2 linked regions of the Caenorhabditis elegans genome follow. The protein of the gene in region 1 purifies or fractionates together with the protein of each later gene. This does not show direct contact. Each region holds a gene or a part of one and is shown in the gene's direction. Other genes may lie near its edges.

The links. Proteins that work in one complex are often made in the same cells at the same time.
Region 2: the proteins of C27A12.4 (region 1) and vab-7 fractionate together in Caenorhabditis elegans (co-fractionation; one large-scale study listed by BioGRID). This does not show direct contact.

What each region holds. Positions count from the first base shown.
Region 1 is NC_003279.8:6,033,783-6,038,429, forward strand, and holds C27A12.4 (C2H2-type domain-containing protein), read left to right. Parts: upstream 1-1,665; 5' UTR 1,666-1,705; coding exon 1,706-1,752; intron 1,753-2,417; coding exon 2,418-2,543; intron 2,544-2,780; coding exon 2,781-3,699; 3' UTR 3,700-3,775; intron 3,776-3,854; 3' UTR 3,855-4,102; downstream 4,103-4,647.
Region 2 is NC_003281.10:10,918,471-10,926,383, forward strand, and holds vab-7 (Homeobox protein vab-7), read left to right. Parts: upstream 1-1,873; 5' UTR 1,874-1,915; coding exon 1,916-1,957; intron 1,958-3,116; coding exon 3,117-3,255; intron 3,256-5,246; coding exon 5,247-5,404; intron 5,405-6,975; coding exon 6,976-7,166; intron 7,167-7,328; coding exon 7,329-7,542; 3' UTR 7,543-7,571; downstream 7,572-7,913. UniProt on the Caenorhabditis elegans protein: Transcription factor. Involved in motor neuron fate determination and maintenance, acting as a transcriptional repressor to counteract gene activation by transcription factor unc-3 in a subset of motor neurons.

The sequences.
Region 1 (4,647 bases):
CAGCAGCACATTCCGGATTATCATACAAGTTTCTTGCTGTATTTATACAAAAGGCACTTGATGAAATTACACAATGATGAAAATATGTGTAACAATCAATATGTAGGACCGTTACACATGAGTTGATGTAGCACTATTTGCTTGTAAGGAGCTGATGAATTGGCTTGAAGGCTATCTAATTGTACATTTGATAATATTACAAAACGACCTGGATGTATTCAAAATCGAAAAGATCAATGAGATTTACTAGGGAATCAAATAGATCCACACATTACAGCGTAAATGGAACAATAACTACCGTATTTCGTCGATCAGTTTCGCACCCTCCAAACTCTTGCCGAGAAGTCGATGGATACAACTTGGACAGTTCCTATATTACAGTAAAGAAGCATATTATTCTGTTCTGTTGTTTGTTATTGAAATTGATGGTGCTCGTAGTCGGAAACAAGACAAACTGAAATTATTAATTTCTCATCTTATCTCCTTCCACTTACCCTAGTAGCTACTATTAAAAACTATTGAGCTGTCATATTTTATCTAATAAATGTTATCAATCCCCAGCCTGTCCTGAACTCGTTTACATTTTTTTTTCACTTATTACTATTAGAAAAGTCCGATAAAACTCGGTCGAGAGCTAGTATTGCAGTCTTTAATACTGTATCTAGTAAGTAGGCATAATAAAGAGAATAAGAAATATGTCTTTCCTAAAAATACTTCAAAATAAAAATTTACCAAAAAATCTCATGCTTGACACATCAATTCTTATCCTATAAATATTTCTCTTCCATCACTCTTATCAAAACAGTTGAAGAAATAAAATTCAAATGTTTGATTGTTTACATAACCTTATACCTCCTCCTTCCTTCCTTTTCTCTTATTCTTTTTGTTTCTCTGCCAAGGAGGAGGTGTGGCGTGAGACGCCGGCTTCTTTCTCCAAACAGTCTAACCCTCTATTTCTCTGTTTCGTTTCACTACACACTGCCTTGTTATTTGATAAATTATATATATTTTTAGGCCTTGAGCAATTCCTTTTTCTTGAATTTTTAGATACAAAACAGCTTGTATTTTTAAAAATAAAATTAGTAAGAACTCTCCAGACCATTTGTTCTCCAGACCATTTTTTCTTTCCAGACCATTTGTCCTATTGGTTTTGCACTTAAAACATCATTTTTCAAAACAATAATCCTACATTTGAACGTTTCAAGTATATGTTCCTGGTGTTTTTCTAGTGTTTCTAGTAATCCTTTCTTTCATTTTTTCTCTAATTAGCCGATTTTCCGAAATTTCCAAATATATATTACAGTTGAAATTTTCGTAGTAAAACTTTTCAATTTGTTTGATTTTGATGTTACCCAAAAAAATCTAAAAATCTAAATTGTTTGTATTTCAAAGATTAAAATATCCAAAATACATTTGAGATTTCTAAAAATTACTTCAATAGGTTTTTGATTTACTAAAAATTATTTTTAAAAATATTAAAAATTTCGAAGCATCCGATTTTTCGGCGATTATAGAAAATTAAAATGTTAGTGCTCTTTCTCAGGTTATATTCACTTCTCACTCCACTAAAGGGCATTTCTGATTCATTTTTCCTCTGAAGCTCCTCCCCTTTCGCGGAAAGAGTCACCGAATACATTTTTGAAAGTTTTACCTGTTGAAATTAAATTTCAGTTCATCGAGACCACAACTTCAATCTAATGTTAAAATGATGCGAGCTGGCGACCACATGAATAAGGAGGCTAGAAGAATGATGTAAGTTTTATAAAAATTGTATTATTACTTATTGTTCCGTAGCCTATATATCCTGCAGTACCATAGTATCTTGAAATATTTCACAATCACATATACATAGTACCTGGAAGTACCGTAGCCAATATTACCCTACAGTATGTATAGTATCCTAGCCTATGGTATCAAACCGTAGCCTACCGTACTCGTAACCGGCCTCCCCTATAGAAAGGTATCTTAACCTACAGTACTTCTTAAAACCGTAATCTGTAGTGCACCCTAGCACCATACCAGGGGGGTGCGGCGAATTTGCCGAACTTGCCGCACACCCCTGTACCATACCGTAAATAAATCTAACTTAACCTACCATACCATTTACTACATTAACCCATTTTACCGCACCGTATCCATGAGTAATTTTAATGTAACATACCGTACCCTTCCCATTAACTACGGTACTATTATAGTGAGATATCACGTTCGACTGTTGTCACCCGATCTAAGGTAGATGTTTGCTGAACCCCTAACAAACTTCGGAAAAAGTGCTTTTCATTTAGGTGGGGAATATTACAAATGAATTGTGTCAGCTTTTCTCTCGTTTTTTTCCTGAGTCTCGCAGCAAAGTTGTTCAACTCGAAACTCACCAAACTAAGGAAAAAAAATAGTATTCCCACTATTCTATATTTCAGCTCGGAGCCGTCCTATGCCCCCAACAAAATGCACATGTACTGCAAGTACCCCATGGACGTGAGGGGAAGAGAATGTGGGTTCGTGGGGACCCTTGCTGACTGCATCACACACATGGGCACTCACACGTAAGTTTTTCATAAAATGCAAAAATGGAAGAGTGTTTGACGGACTAGACAACTATCTGAAGGGACAAGAAAATATTAGCCGGAAAACACAAAAATGTTGAAACTAGTGCATTCAATTGCGCGGGAATTCAAATGTGATTCAGCCATTTCTTGCAAGTTTGAGAAAAATAACGTTGATTTTGGTTCATTTTCTATACCACCATGTTACATTGTAATATTACATAATTTTAATTTCAGGAGGACTTACCTCTACCGTTGCAAGAAGTGCTGCATGGATCTCACGGATCCGAGCCAACTCTACAACCATCACAGCGTCACCAATGGAGACCTGTGCACCTCGAAGACCGCGGAAATGGAAGTACTTCCTCCGATAGGAAGAGATAAATCGGTGGATCGTCATAGGTCGCTGAACGTATTTCTTATGGTTATATCGAAGGAAGAATACCATAAGCATAGGACTTCCTCCAATTATGCCCACAACACTCGGAGGACTGGAGGAACTCCTGCTTATGATGATCTTCCGTGTTTCAATCAGATCTCGAGGAAGAAAACATCCTACAGCCACCAGGTTCCGGAAATCGATGTAGAGCTCAACAGTTCTTCCACATCAGCTCTTCCAATTAAAGAAGAGGTTACTACAAGGAGCCCTGCACCAAATATGGGTTTTTGCGAAGTACGCCAGCTCCCAAAAGACTCCAGAGGGCCTCAGAGAGATGGCTCCTCATCTCCTGATGTTCAGTTCATCAAGACTGTGACTATGTCACGGTTAGAGAATGTTGTTCCTACCAGCTCACGTGGAAAGGCGCCAGAAGATTCATCTGCACCAGCACGTCTAGGATTCCTCTCCGATCGTGCGGTCTCCGGGTCATCAATCCCAGCCGTCGAGGAAAGATCTGGAGAAGGCAGCTTCGACTTTACAGGTCCTTCCACTCCTCGCTTGGCCCAGCCAGCTTTTGGGAACTTTTTTGGGAATAGGGCGAGTTCTTCGTCTTTCGGTGCACCATTGTCAACTCTAGCTGTGGACAAGCTGATTCCGGAACCTCATCTCTCCGGAAGCAAAGCGGTCCCAGACCATCGTTTCGATTTCAAACATTTCAGACGTCTCCGAGCAGCGGGAGGAGGGCCCCTCAAGGCGATCGCCGATGTCTCCATCTAATCAACGGGGACGTGGAGCAGGACACCAGCCACGTAACAGGGAACATACACCGAAATCGCCATTGAGAAACCAGAGGGTGAGTAATTTGCAAAATGACCTAGTTTATTCCTCGATCATGCGAAAAAACCAACTAAATCTATCTGTAAATTTCACAGCGTGGTCGCCGAAGCCCCTCGACAGATGAGTGGACCCCCAGACGTTCAGAGCATCACCATCGTCGTGACTATAGAAGAAGAAAGCGGGATTATTCAAGAGATCGCTCACGCCATCACGGAGATCGTTATTAAATTCCATGTTGCATCTCAATTTCTTTTTCTTCGATTTCTCGAGTATTGAGCCTTTATTCACATTCCTTCTCGTATGTTCATAATAAATATTCTATCTACGTTAAAAGTAAAATATTCTATCTACGTAAATCTCCTTGTCTAACGCTCAATACACAACACAAAACATTCGCCTATTTCTTAGACTCGTAAAACTTCCTGATTTCCTTATGAATTTGCATGATCAACGTGCTGCTGTTTCACTATGAACATTTTCTACTCGTATGTTATCCGAACGGCTTTTATCAATTTAAAGATTAAACTCCAATATTTGAATGGAAATGAAGATGTGATGGCAATGATCTATTCATTACTTCTTCTTCTGTCTCGTTAAGAAACAAGATTTCAGCCGTTGCAAAGAATTATATTTATTAAACCCTCAATTCAAATTTCGCGCTCTTTCGAAGACGGGATATCGGAGTGTCGTTGTTTATTTTCAATTTTATTTTTTATTCGCAAAAAATCAATATTTGACTTTTTCTTCTATTTAAAACAGTTTTTGTTGAATTTTTCCTTTCATATAAATATTATTAATCTTTAAAATTTTTATGTTTATATGATTAAATCTTCCTTATTGCCATTAATTGTGTATTTTTCCAGATCCTAAAATTCGATAAACAACCAA
Region 2 (7,913 bases), on another chromosome or scaffold:
AGAATAGTGAACGTTTTTAGATTTTAAAGTCTTTTCTCTTTTCTGAGTAGATGGAGCGCGATGGAAAACTTGATGAAGAGATAAAGTGAAAAAAAAACAATGAAAGCGCGCTCCATCGGACAAAAAATGTCGGAATTTCAAAATTGCCGAATTTTAAAATTTTCGGCAACCGCGGCCCACCCCTGGTTCGGAAGTTCCAGTGTTCTCAGGCACACTGCCTATACTCAACTTTTGAAGGGACATGCCCTACAAATAGAGTAAACATTAAACCATTTTGTATTGTCTTCCACATGTATTCAAGTGTATCAATACCAAAAAGTAATGAAATAGAGAGAAGGGGGAGCGGAATGCCTGATGAATGATTCATTCTCTCTCTCCCGATGCAACATTTAGGGGAGATACATGCAATGACAATAAAAGAGCTGCTTAGTCATGTCACTTAATGACTTTTGATGAGGCTTTCATCACTTTTTGATGGGGAGGAACACTTTTTTGTTTCCATCTGACTTTGTGGCCTAATTAAGAAAAACTAGGCCATTGTGTAGATGGCTTTTAAAGTTTTGAAAAAAAGGTTATGGGAATCCCAAGAAACTTCAAAACTCTGATTTCGCAAAATTGAATTTCTATTAGAACGGTGAGATCATACATACCAGGGGTGTGCGGCAAATTTGCCGAATTTGCCGTTTGCCGAGCTCGGCAAATTTCAAAAAAGTAGATTTGCCGAATTTGCCAAGCTCGGCAAATTTCGAAATTTGCCGCACACGTCAAAAATTTGACAGTACAATTTTGACTAAAACTATTGATTTTTTAGCCAAAAATTTAGTAAAATGATACAAAATTGAGCTATTTTGATGCTTAAACAGACATTCTACGCGGAACTTATTCAGAAACCAGATGTGTGTTAAGAATTCAGTAGTTTTGGTGCTCCAAAAAATATAAAAAAATATCAAATTTTTCCGAGTTTGTTAAGCACGGCGAATTTGCCGAATTTGCCGAATTTGCCGTGCTCGGCAAATATTGAAAAAAGAGATTTGCCGAATTTGCCGAGCTCGGCAAAAGTGGCCTAGAAAATTCAAGTTAGGCCACCTGTCAATTTGAATGTTGAATTTTTATGTTGAAAATACTTACATAAGTTTTTTCATCCGTTTCACCTAGCTAAGCACATGGCCTAGAAAAATCAAAATTAGGCCACCGTAAAAGAGAAAATAATTTGTATATTAATATGAAACATTGAATGAGCTAAGGGGCTCCAGTTGCTTTGTGGCCTAAAAAATTTGAACCCTCGGCCACCTCCGTGAAATTTTCGAAAATTTTCATTTTGAATTTCATCGTAACGGCCGGGAACTTTAGCTTGATCACGTGGCCTAGAATACTGAAGTTTTTTGAGAACCGTTATTGGGGAACTTTCACGCAGGTACCTCGTGGGTATTAGGAAACATGGTCTAGAAAAAAAATTAGACTGTCTGCAAAATAATTTTAATCATTGTGTAATATTCTTCATTGTAAGGGCCCTAGAACCTTTACTTGGTTACGTGGCCTGGAAAACTCAAAAATTCGGCCACTAATTGGTTTTTTGAAGTTTTACTTGAAAAAAAAAATGACCTGATGTTTTTGAAAAGCAATACATTTTCTCTTAATATTAAATTTCCAAAAAAATGCCAAATCTGCCGTATTTTAAATTTCAAACGTCATGGAAAAAGATTATTATCTAAAGTCTCTTTCTATTCCAGCACTCCTTCCCCTCTTCTATTGGCCGCCCTTCTCATCTGAGCGTGGGGCGTGGCCAAATCCACCGTAGTCACCGAGAGGTTGAGCCCCGCCCAGCGCCTTATTCTATTGTTTCCTTTATCTTTGAGTTTTAGTACTCAAGTTCTTTTATTTGAAAAAAAAACTATCAAAAATTTTAAAAATTAGCATGCAATCATTTGATATTGAGTCCCTTATTGGGGTTAATAAGGTGAGATTTTTTTGTTTTGTATTTTGTTTTGAGAACCATGTTTTTTACTTTTGTAGAACTGTTATTTAATGTCTGTAAACTTCTTGTTGTCAAAGATCCATTAAAATTAAAGTTTCTAAATTTTTGTAGTTTTTTAGGGATTTTTTCAACTTTTTTGATAACTGTAATAGGTAGAAATAAAAAATTATATAATTTCATGCAATAAAATTTAATGAAAAATTATTAATCTAATCATAAAAGTTTAGAAGATTTATGTTGCTAAAATTTTATTTGATAACTGTAAAAGTTTCATTCAGTTTCACAATTTTCAAGATTATCGGGCGTTTGAAGCTTAAAAGATAATTTTTTTAAAGTGTTTAAAAGTGGTTATAACTTGGTTTGTAATAATGCAAGCAAAAAATTTTCAACAAACAATTTGTTCATTATGTTTTAAGCTATAATTTGTTAGTTGTCAACTTTTTGATAACTGCATTAGTTGCAGAGTTATGGACAATTTAATTAGGTTGCATAATCAAAAAGTGTCATATTGCATAATCTCAGCTATAATGCATAGTTGCATAGTTATTTGAATTATTGAAACATTTAAATTCTAATTTTTTAAAATCTGTTTTGCTAGAAGTTTTTAAATTATTCTTTAAACTATTTTCTTTTTTATTAATACTTTGAAATTTTGATTTAAGAAATACAGAAAAAAAAATTAAAATCGTTTTTTGAAAAGTTGAAATTACCGAAAATTATCTATTTTGACAGCCAAACTTCAGTTATTTCTAGTATTCAAATTAATTCCAATTGTAGTTGAAAAATAATTATGTCTAGTAAAACAATGTCGATTTTATTTTCAGATCAAAAACTGTTTACATAAAAAAAGTTGTTTTTACCTCTTTTAATCTAGAAAAATTTGAAAAAATATATCATTGAAACTTTTTCGACACCCTAAAGTCTTTTAGCCGAACTCTGAAGACCCCCGGACAGCTCCAGGATGATGCAACTCTTAGTTTCTAAGTAAAGCCTCCCTGACACCCCAAAACTGTTATGGCCTAGTTTTGGGTCCCTAGGCCACGTTGAGCATAAAATCTACTTTAGCCCCATCACCTAGGACACACCCCCCCCCCCCATCCGAACACATAAAACATCTCGTAATTCGAATTCTCATTTCCAGGTCCCATCACTTGTGGAGATGGTCGCCGCATCTCGAGCTTCCTCATTTTCCCCTCCATTTGAGCAGCAGCATCATGACCCGATGGGTGTGGTGGCCGCAGCGGCAGCAGCAGCAGCCGCCGGACGTCATCATCCGTATGGTAAGAAAAATGGGTGTGTGTGTGCCCGAGATGAGAAGGGACATAATTATTCAAGAATACTTCTTCCCCTAGCTTCATCTCCTCGCTGAACACTAATTTAGTCCCGTATTTGGGTGGGGGTGACAAATTGAGGGAGATTGATTGAGGTGGAGGGGGGTGAGCGGATGGATGAGGTTGACACGAGCAAATGGACAATGAGCACCTATTATGACACGTGGGAGTAGTGGAGCGGGTAGGCAGTGGCCGAGTTTTTTCTAGGCCACGGGCTAGAACCAACGCGTGAAAGATTACAGTTACCTCCGAGAAGTGACTGAGGTTGCCTTTTTTAGGCCAAAAGTATAAACAAATTTCCACATTCTAACTTTGATAGTTTTTACAGTTTGGTTTTTTTTAAATTCAAATTCCCCGCCAAAAATTTCTCCGCCAAAGTTTCTACTCTGAAAATTTGAATTTTCCCGTCACAACTTTTACTGAGTGAGATCTTTTGAAATCCCCGCCAATGCTTTTTCAACAAAGCTGTACTAGCTTCCCTTTTCTTGATGGCCTAGAAAACTCAACCACGGCCATGAACTTTCAAAGGGCTAATATAGTTCCATGTGCTCCTCCCTGAAAGTTCTCTTTGTGGCCTAGAAAATACAATTTCAATAGGCTTCATATCTCCTAGAACATGGCGTGGCCGAATTTTTGCTTTCCAGGCCAGACTTTTTCCTAGGCCACGCAGCTCCCTGTCATCATAAACGATGTGTAAATGTTGCGGTTTCGACACAATCACTGAGTGTGAATGAGGATTGTTTGGTGTCGGCTATTATATCGTAAATGTTCTCTCTTTTTGTTTTACACCTGCCCCCCCCCCCCTCTCGGGGTACTGTAGACGCGTCGTTTAGTGGTCAATTATCTATGTTAGTGTTGCGAATGGGTTATATGATCACTGATAGACACACTGGGAAACATGCTCTGATGTGCTTAACCTCTTCCCCCTCTCCCCCGAAGTCAATCGCCCTAATGTTGCCATGTGTCATGTAATTGGTGTTGCGTGTCGAATCAGTTCATAGACACCCTTAGTCGTAAAAAGGGGAGTGAACCAATTATTTAATTAGGACACAATGTTCCGGCCGGGCAGGTACACGGGTGAAAGTGGGAAGGGTACATCTGGCCTAGGGATTGCAAGCTCGGCCAGGCTTATGTCATGTGGGCTTTTAGACTAGCTAGTCTTTTGGTCAGGAGACAACTATACCGCTGATAAGTATAGGAAGCCGGGAGTTTCTGCTTTGCCTAATCAACCTAATCTAACTACATCTATAGGGCCCAAAGCACCATCATATACTAATAGCATAGAATTCTCAAACCCGGCCAAGTTCCGTTATGGTGTCCACAACACTCTTAGTTCCACATGACCAAGAAAGCTCAATCTGAGCCATTTTCCTTTAGATCGGCATATTGTAAGCTTGACCTGGTCACCTAGAAACTTCTAATTCTGCCACCACTTTTTAGAACTGTCCAGATCACCCTTCCTTACACATGGCCTAGAATTCACAAACCCCTCCTTCCCCTCAAAATCTGAAGGGTTAACAACAGTCTTCCCTAACGGTCTAGAACCTTTTGAATGGGCCATATTCCTTCGAGGGATCCACAACACCCTATCCATAACCTAGAATCACCTGGATACTCCAGTCATATGAGCGATCCACAAAAGTATACTCCTTCACCTTCTCATGGCCTAGAATTCCAAAACTCGGCCATCCATCTCCTCTCATAATCCCTCTCACTAGGATAATGGGTGGAAATTATGTTTTTCATCAAGAAATGCATGTATTAATTCCGCATCGCCGGGATGCTAATAATGAAAAACAAGAAGAGTCAATTTGTGCCGTTTATTGATGAATTTTAAAGCACTTTTAATTATTTAATTCTGTATGACGAAAAACATAATTTGCTCCGTGTTTTTGTCGTCGGGAAGCTGTTGATGAAATGCTGATTTATAATAATTTCAGATAACCGAGACGACGGTCAAATGCGGAGGTATCGAACGGCTTTTTCACGAGAACAGATTGGGAGGCTTGAGAGGGAATTCGCAAAGGAAAACTATGTTAGCAGGAAGACACGTGGCGAGTTGGCGGCAGAGTTGAATCTTCCAGAAGGTACAATTAAGGTAAGTTGAAAATAGAGAAAAATTGGATGAAAATTCCTAGAGTATTAAATGGCTCTAGGCTACATCATAGCTCTTTGGGCGACCTATAATATTTCAGACCAAGTCACTACAGACGGTTTTAGCTATTACTGACAAGTCTAGGCCACCACTAAGAATTCCAGGCTACCACGATCTCTTTAGGCCATCACTGAGGATTCTTTGTAATCAGAGTTGATTGTAGGCCAATTTTAAAATTTCTAGATCATCAAAAAGCCATCGCTAAGGATTCTAGACAACTATTGAGAATTCTAGGCTACCACTGAAGATTCTAGGCCACGGCTGAAGCTTTAAAACTAGAACTAAGTTTTCTAGGTCATCAGTAAGGATTCTAGGCCACTATTAAAATTCTAAGACTACGTTAAGCTTTCTAGAGCACAATTGAGAATTCTAGGCCACTCACATGTTTGAACACATTTTGGACGTTCGTATCTCTGAAAATATCATAGCTATCAAAAAATTATCAACTACCAAATTATTCAAAATTCAATTTTCTACATTTTATCAGTTAAAAACATTTTTATAGCTACAAAACTGACAAAGTTAGAAGCAGATTTCCGCATCATAATAGGCTACCGTACCCCCGTCCCCCTGCCGCCGTCATCGTCAAATCCAAATCATTTCCCATGACATACACGCGGGACCCGCTGCTTCTTCTGCATATCAATCTCCCTTGAAAAATGAAAAAGCTGAGAGGACAGGAGAAAACGGAGGGCCTATGAGTGATTTCGGAGTATCGCGCCTTTTATTCCCACTGGCATACTTTTAGAACTTCGTAGCCTCTTCAACTAGTTACAATATGATTTTCGGGGGAATTAGTATAGAAGGAGAAGGGTTAGAAATTTATGAGTTAGGCTTCGGCTTAGGCTTGGGCTTAGGCTTAGGCTTAGGTTTAGACTTAGGCTTAGGCTTAGGCTAAGGCTTAGGCTTAGTCTTAGTCTAAGGCTTAGGCTTAGGCTCAGCCTTAGTCTTAGACTTGGAGCTAACGCTCCCCCACTGACGCTATTTAGGGTTATTAGGCTTAGGGTTAGGCTTATTCTGGGCGGGGGAAGAGATGAAAGGAAATCCTAGAAAATTACATGGCCTAGTTTTTTCCAGTGTCCTAGAAATAAAATTGTTGGCCTAGAATTTTCTGAGATGACCTAGCGTTTTTCAAAATAATCTAAAACTTCCTAAGATTATCCAGGAAACTTTAAAAACTCAGAAAATCTCCAGATGTCTTAGAAATTGTTCAGATGGCCTAGGAAATTTTCTGGTGGCCTAGGAACTATAATTTATGAACTAGAAAATTAAACGGTGGTCGAGGAACCTTTGACATAACCCAGGAATTTTTCTCGATGCATTTCCGACATGACTCAAAATTTTGAATTTTTGTGAACTTTCCAAAAAATTTTTAGGTAGCCTAGTAAACTTACTGATGGCCTAGAAAACTCTCATTTGCCCTACTTCAAATAAACTTGTGGAAAGTGGCCAAGTGGCCATTACTCGCAAGTGACTCTCGATTTTAGTCGAATTTTCTGAAATATTTCTTGCAGGTATGGTTCCAAAATCGTCGAATGAAAGATAAACGGCAACGAGTCGGTGGTCTCGCGTGGCCCTTTCCTCCACAAATGGCTGCCTACATGTTAAACCCATTTGCATATGAAATGTGGATGAAAACAGCTGCCGCCTCACAATTCGGAGCCACGGGTCCCGGAAATGGAGCTTATGGGAATAATGGATCAAGGTGAGTTGGAAGATTGGCAATATTGAAGTTTCTTCACAATTTTTGGAAATGTTTGGAATCGGAACTTTTTTTTTCGTAAAAACCAAAATAAAATTGTGAAAAAATTTTAGCTAAATAAATTATTTAAGGTTTTTTTTTCAAATTTTTCCAAATATTTTTCAGCACATCTCCATCAGCAGCTGGATCTCTTCCATTCCTTCCACCATTAGGTTTTCCATCATTTTTATCACAAAATTCAACAAAATCTCCATCTTCTCCACATTCAGACGATTCCTCAAAATCGAAGAATACCTCAAGTGATGATGATGAATCAAAACCTGTAAATTTTTCAAATAGCCCTTCCTCAAGTTCTCCCTCGCCTTATTCTACAGATTAATTCACTATTTTTTGGAAAAAAAAATCGGCAAAAAAAGGGGAAAAATGGACAAAATTAGCCAGGTGGCCTAAAAAATGTTCATGGTGGCCTAGGAAATTCTAAAGCGACCTAGAAATTTCTAAAGTGGTCAAGAAAACTCAACGGTGGCCTAGGAGATTCTAAAGTGGCCTAGAAAATTCTAAGATGACCTGAAAATTACATAGCTGGCCTAGAAATCGCTCTGACTAAAATTAGGCTTTTTCAATAGCCAAAAACACTTTTCGTGGCCTAAAAACCTCAATTTTTGCCTATTATCTGCCAATTTTTTTTTGTTAAATTTCCACAAAATTTGTATTTTCTTCGCTTTTTTGTCTCATTTTACAAACAATCTC